2 linked regions of the Daphnia pulex genome follow. The protein of the gene in region 2 purifies or fractionates together with the protein of the main gene of each other region. This does not show direct contact. Links are inferred from orthologs where the notes say so. Each region holds a gene or a part of one and is shown on either strand. Other genes may lie near its edges.

What was found. The genes of interacting proteins can lie anywhere in the genome.
Region 1: the proteins of protein Pixie-like (region 2) and protein LTO1 homolog purify together in Homo sapiens (affinity purification with mass spectrometry; 4 studies listed by BioGRID and IntAct, with this or other methods). This does not show direct contact. The link is inferred for Daphnia pulex from reciprocal best matches to the Homo sapiens genes ABCE1 and LTO1.

Annotation. Positions count from the first base shown.
Region 1 is NC_060018.1:5,350,857-5,353,533, forward strand, and holds protein LTO1 homolog, read right to left. Parts: upstream 1,169-2,677; coding exon 644-1,168; downstream 1-643. Other genes in the region: probable methyltransferase-like protein 25, read right to left, coding at 1-629; HIV Tat-specific factor 1 homolog, read left to right, coding at 1,695-2,489; C-type lectin domain family 10 member A-like, read right to left, coding at 2,524-2,587, 2,648-2,677. UniProt on the Homo sapiens protein: The complex LTO1:YAE1 functions as a target specific adapter that probably recruits apo-ABCE1 to the cytosolic iron-sulfur protein assembly (CIA) complex machinery. May be required for biogenesis of the large ribosomal subunit and initiation of translation.
Region 2 is NC_060026.1:16,235,609-16,239,904, forward strand, and holds the start of protein Pixie-like, read right to left. Parts: upstream 2,881-4,296; 5' UTR 2,760-2,880; exon of another isoform or gene 2,717-2,759; intron 2,500-2,716; 5' UTR 2,488-2,499; coding exon 2,269-2,487; intron 2,209-2,268; coding exon 2,091-2,208; intron 2,026-2,090; coding exon 1,928-2,025; intron 1,858-1,927; coding exon 1,650-1,857; intron 1,589-1,649; coding exon 1,052-1,588; intron 992-1,051; coding exon 819-991; intron 755-818; coding exon 558-754; intron 482-557; coding exon 247-481; intron 149-246; coding exon 101-148; 3' UTR 1-100. UniProt on the Homo sapiens protein: Nucleoside-triphosphatase (NTPase) involved in ribosome recycling by mediating ribosome disassembly. Able to hydrolyze ATP, GTP, UTP and CTP. Splits ribosomes into free 60S subunits and tRNA- and mRNA-bound 40S subunits.

The sequences.
Region 1 (2,677 bases), on a different chromosome or scaffold from region 2:
TCTTCATCTTCTGTAAGACGTGCTTTTTTCACATGACTTTTGAATGTCTTTTGAAGCATAGATTGTCTTCCCTCCTCTGCATGAGCGCTAAAACCGGCAGCATCGATACCTGAGACGTATAATCCGTGATTCAGTGATAGCATCGATGCTAGCGCTCCTTTTCCGCAACCCAAATCAACAATCAGTTTGCTATCAGTATAATTTGCAAACGATGCTATCGTATCGCAAAGGGCTCCAACCTCGTGAGATTTTTTCACCGTCATGAATTTATCAAAATGGATCAACGAAGTTAAGGGCTTTATATCCATCTCTTTCCACACTGACGGGAGATCATCAAGAACATTTAAAGAATCTAAATTATGTTCATCAATATCTTCCATTAGCTGGAGTAAATTTGAGGCAATGTGAACTGGTTTGCTTTTACTGATGTTCAGATAATCGTTGGGAAGCTCAGCAATCTGAGTATCGGAGAGTGCCATCAAATCTGACTGCAAATCTTGACTTAATTTTTCAAATACTTGATCAGTATAAAAGTGAACCATGTGTGTGTTTACAATAGGAAGAAATGGCTCCAGAAATGTTGACAGTGTTTTTAGAGCAGCTAGAGCTGTTTCTTGTTTTGTTCCCATATTGTATTTAGAAATCAAAAGTTCAGTTGATTATTAGCAGAATAGCTAGCATCAACTTTGAGGATAGCACAGCAATGCTTGAATTTGGCACGAATGTCTTGAAGTAAACTTACAATATCTTGATTTTTTGGATTTTCCTGTGGGAAACGTTCCAGCAATGTAAGCAATTTTTCCAATGCTTTGAGAGATTTTGAATCTGCCTCTTCTGTTTTATTTTTCAGTTCAATTTGATGTATCTCATGTACAACATCCGGATTTAAGGACACAGGGCACAATTCCAGTAGTTGTTTAAAAGCTTCACTCAAATCACCCGATAGCAAAGCAATCCAACTTTTAGCAAACCCACGATAGAAGAAAATTTCCGACCCAATTTCGCTGCCTTTTTGACGTCCTAAATCAAATCCTTCTTGAAATCCTGCTATTTCTCCTTGAAGTAATCCTTCTTCATAAGCTTTTGCCACTAAATTGTCTTCAGACACTAATAATGAATCAAAAGCGTCTTGAATATCGAAATCGCTTTCTTGTTTGTTCACAGCCATAGCAAGTGTAACGAATTCATCGTGAATTCATTTTAAACTAGAGAAAAATGAACAGTTAAGCCACGTTTTCAGTATGCGATGATTTAAGCAGACGAATTTCTGAAAATTAAAAACAAAAGAGCTCTATCTACCAACGGGTGTGTAAGCACGAAGCAGAGACCAGAGAGACTAGAGACAGATGACGCATCCCAAACAAAACGCTGCCGGTAACCGTTAATTTAAATAATGAAGAAAAAAAAATGAAATTAAAAATTAACACACAATTTATTTTATCTTGAGCATTTTTTAGACTTACGAGTTATGACTTATCTCCAAACAGTCCAAAGTCCAATCAGACAAAAGAGTGATTTTGCAGCAGGGCAATGCTGTTATGTGCTTTCTTGCAAAATGCAGAGTTGCAGACCACTTGTAAAAGAAATCGAAGTTGAAGTTTCAAAAAACGTTGTTCTTTTCCTTCGCATGGAAACAAACAGTTAAGAGTTAGTATCAATCGTACGTATAGAAGTGGATGTCGTAACAACTAAAAATGAATGCATCATCGTACTCGTACGAAGGTGATGTTTGCATCCATACAGATCCTGCGACGGGGTATCAATACAAGTGGAATGCTGAGGAAAAGAAATGGGAGCCCAATACTAAAATCGAGACACAAGTTACCGCTGATTCTAATGCCGAGGCAAAATACGAAAGGGTGGGAAATACTTATGTGTATAAAGATGAAAGTGGAAGACTTTTGGAATGGGATCTTGAAGCTAAAGAGTGGAAACCTAAACTTGAAACACAGACCATCAGAAGGATTGCCAAGAATCCTGATGAAGAGTTTGATTCATCAGATGAAAGCGGAGAAGAAAAATTACTTGAACAGAAAAAAAGTGTGATCAATCATCATGTTCATGTGAATAGTGATGGAGTGAAAACCTACACTGATCCCTCTGATGGAACTATTTTCGAATGGGATGAAGAAAAAAAAGCCTGGTTTCCAAAGTTGGATGAAGAATTTATTGCTCGATATCAGTTAAGTTATGGTGGAGAGGCAAGTACAGAACCAGTGGCTGAACTGGAGAAGAAAAAGGTAGAACCTCCACCGAAAATTGAGAAAAAGCAAGTCAGTGAGCCAAATTGGTTTGAAGTTGATCAAACCAAGAACACTAAAGTTTATGTCACCAATCTTCCCACTGAGATAAATGAAGAAGAAATTGTTGAGTTTATGCAAAAGTGTGGAATGATTGAAAAAGACTTGGAAACTGGGAAACATAAAATAAAGCTCTACAGAAATGAGAATGGACAGGTGAAAGGAGATGCACTTTGCACCTATATCAAGGTAAGTTTATGAAATCATATATTTTTTGGCCGATTCATTGCAAAATTTGGGCTGGAGTCGCCTTTGTTAATGGTAGTTCACAAATATAGTGGAGATTTCTGCATTGTAAGTATTTGTTATTAGAATCAATATCTTGTAAAACTGCTGAAAGGTTATACCTTGTACACAACTTGTGATTCCATTTATGT
Region 2 (4,296 bases):
GCAACAAAACAAGATTTGTATTTCTTGACCCAACAATTTACAGAGAACTCTGCAGAAATCCGATTTAACGGAGCTCCGAGTGGCGGATCCAAACTTGTTTCTAATCTTCCAAGAAAAAGTAATTGCCCGATCTCTTCTGCTCCACGTCCTGTTTTCACCACACCAAAAGAACAAATTTGCATTTAGTTTAAGCCACACAATCCAGTTACTTGTGTACATCAAAAATAGAAAGAAAAAAACCCCAACCTTGACGGAGTTCTCCTTGTTGATTCGTGGCCGGTAGTTGTTGGGATCTCGGCGGAACGTAATGGCCAACAGCTCGAGAAAGCGGTTCATGCCGGGCAGAAGAGCTTGAGGAGCGTTGGCTCTTGACTCGATTGAAGGTTGGCCCTCAAAAACGATGACGCGGTCAGCCAAATAAGTGGCCATGATGAAATCGTGCTCGACGACAAACGCCGTCTTCTTGGCGTGCAGAATAAATCTAGTCAACCGACACCAATCCATTATTTTACATTTTATGACATTTACACGGATAAAACTGAAGGAATGAAAGTAACCTTTTAATAACTTTGGCTGCTACTAGACGCTGTTCGGAATCGAGATAGGCAGACGGCTCGTCGATGAGGTAAACATCGGCGGCTTTACCCAAACACAAGACGATGGCCAAACGCTGAAGTTCACCACCAGACAAATTCTGAACCTCCTGGTCGATAATGTCTTCAATTCTCAACGGCTTCATCACGTCCGCCACGAACTTGAGAGAAAATTGAATCATTAATTTTAACTTTTTAGAAGGAAAACAAGGGGCTTCCAAATACCTGCGGATGGGTGTAGGCATCGCGAACTTTGTCGTGGAGTAGAACGCGGACGGTACTTTGCGATTTTGGGCTAATCTTTTGCGGTTTGTAACTAATGTTGAGAGATGGAATTTCACCAGATCCAGCGTCCGGTGTCAGTGAACCAGCCATCAACCGAATCAGGGTTGTCTTGCCTATTGATTAGAATTTTAATTAAGAAATGAAACTTAAAATTACGGGTGAATAAAACGAACCTGTTCCATTTTCGCCGAGGAGGACGATAATTTCGGCGTCGGTAAAGGATCCAGTGTTGACGTTCAGTTTGAAATCGCCGAGTGTTTTGCTCATGTTTGGATATTCGTAATGATGAAGTCGCTTGACTTCTTCCTCGGTGGCCGATTCGGCCACACGGAAGACGAGCGATTCCTCGCGGAAACGCAAATTCTCCGTTGGCACGTAACCGTCGAGGAAAATGTTGATGCCTTCGCGGACCGAGAACGGGACCGTCACCACACCATAGACACCAGGAATTCCGTAGAGGCAGCAGATGAAATCGGACAAGTAGTCCAGAACCGACAAGTCGTGTTCGACGACGACAATGTACTTGGTCGGATGCAACAGGGAACGCAGAGCCTTGGCGGCGTTCAGACGCTGTTTCACGTCCAAGTAACTCGACGGCTCGTCGAACATGTAAACGTGAGCGTCTTGGATGCAGACAGTGGCGCAAGCAAAACGCTGCAACTCTCCACCAGATAAATTTTCGATATTTCTTTCGGTCAAGTGTCCAAGATCTGTTATTTTAAAATGATGTCAGTCTAATAAAATCGGCTGAAGGGTAATTTGTTTTATTACCAAGAATTCGTATCATTTCAGCTTCATTTCCGCTCTCAGCTTTGCGCTTGATCATCTCACCGACACTTCCTTTAACGGCTTTGGGAATCTGGTCCACGTACTGCGGTTTGATCACCGTCTTCAAGTCGTCCTCCAAAACTTTGGTAAAATAATTTTGGAGCTCGGAACCGCGAAAGTATGTCAAAATCTCGGACCACTCTGGAGGATCCTGTGCAATTAAACGAGATTTTGAATCGTTAAAGGGGCTCAATTGCTTGTTTAGTAAATGTTTGTTCAACCTTGAATCGGCCTAAATTGGGTTTCAACTTTCCTGCCAAAATCTTCAGGGCAGTGGATTTGCCAATACCATTTGTGCCGACCAGACCGAGAACTTCACCTAATTAATAAAAGTTAATTATTAAAAATAAATTTATTTTATGGCAATTGTTTGTGAATGCCTACCAGCACGGGGAGTTGGGAGTCTGTGGAGCTTGAATGAATTTTGAGAGTAGCGATGAGTAACTTGAGAGTCCAAGTTACTTGGCAAGTTGATGATGGTAATTGCTTCGAAGGGACATTTCTGAAATTAGATAATGCAATTAAAAGTCTATTTTTAATTGGAATGGGTGAAATTAATTACCTTGACGCAGATACCACAACCAATGCAGAGGGTTTCAGAGATGACAGCAATCCTGTCGGTAGGAGCTACCTCAATGCAGAGCTTGCCCATACGCACCACAGGGCAAGACTTTTTGCATTCCTGACGGCAACGTTTAGGTTTGCACTTATCCGCATTGATAATGGCTATCCTAGTGAGCTTGTCTGTTTCTTCAAAGGCTTTTCTCCTGGCTGCAGCCATTTTCTAGGCTTCCTGTACATCAACAACAGAAAAGGAGATGCTGTTAATAAATAGCTGCAGACCTACTTTCTCCTTCTTCAACAGCTTGCAGAGATACACATGAAAACTCACGTGTCACTGTCATGATTTTAAACGCGATAGTGACGATCTCGCAAAACTTGACAGTAATATTCACTAATTTAGACATTTTATAACTATGATTAAACAATAAAATCAACATATAATTTACTTAATTTGGCCAAAATTGAATACAGAAAAATAAGGCCACGTACAAGTTCCAAGTAAGCCGAAAGGACCGGAAAAGTAACCCCCGCAAGCTTTTCAACCAATTCGCCCACGGAGAAAGAAAGAAAAATTGCGCGGAATAACGATGGCGCAAATTTGATTCAATTTGAAAATCGTTTTCAACAAAAAATCATTGATTAATCAGTTTTGTTTTGAGTAGAATTTTTTCTACATACTTTGTTGAATTTTAAAAGAATTACTCTTACTTGCATGTAACAAAAAAAGCATTTTCTACATTTAACTACTTGAATTGTTATTGACAGTTTTGATTTGAAAATCTCATCTTATTACACAAGCAAAAGTAAGAATAGCTTTCAAAATTTTTTTCAGCCAGTAAAAACTGCTAATCTTTTAAGTTTCCAACTTCCAAACAACGATAAGGATTAAGGAAGCAAAATAATAAAATATACACCAGCAGACAGAAAATGTTTTCCTCTGAACAAAACTTGCAAACAATCTTGCAGGTTTTCTCATTTAATTTTTTCCGATATCTGTTAATTTAGAAATCGATTAATTGATCGTTTGCTAACATCATCAAAGCCTTTTATTTAAAACAATTAATTATATTGTGTTGAAACGTTCATAGATATTTCATGGTTCGTGCATTGTGCGCACTGGTAGTTCTGACACCTGTCACTACTCACCTGTGATAAAAATAATTAAACCAGATGGTTTGAGTTTGACTGCTGGAAGTCCATCTTGCACCACACAGCCTACCATCATCTTAAAATCGTCACACCCTTTGCGACTCATAATTACTACATAAAGTTCATTTACGATTAAAATGTTGGGAGTTGGTTAATGGCAATAAATAACAACAATTGGAGGTCAATTACGCAACGTTGATATGACACACCTTCATTCCTTGATCTCTACAAGGGAATTGGGTTCGGCAACCTAGGCCATTGACATAGAGGAAACCCAACAGAGGAACTCGGTGTGTGTAAACCTGTGTCTAATGCCGCACTGCAGCATTCGACGTTGGGGCCTAAATTCAAGGAAAATATCTGTTTCGATATAAATACGAACAAGTTTCCTGGAAGCCTGGAAGGAAAGAATGATAATTTCTTAGTCAAAATCTCGTTATGAGTCACACGCCATAGGTGAAATTCAGTAAAAACCTTAATGTGAATTCCACAAGATAAAATTGCTCTTGGAGAACTCAATGTCAAGCTTCTGTTTACTTCAAGGCTTTAAAGGGCATTCCTATCTGTCACCTGAATTAAATTGTTTTGCCTGAAGCTGAAGAATTAAAAAAAAAATCTTCTTTATTTTTTTTCTGTACAAAATTTATAACAACAAGAATTTTGTTGTACAGGTTTACAAACTTTATAACTCGTTGTAATCTTATCGACTGAGTGAACAAAAGATTTCTGAAGAAGAAAAACCACGTGGGGTTTACCAGACGTGAGGCTTTCTAGACGTTTCTCGAATCTCGACTCGCTATTACAAAGGCAAAAGGTGAACTATGATTTCACCGTTTCTTACAAGCAAGAATGCATTATTTACGAAAAAAGCAATAAT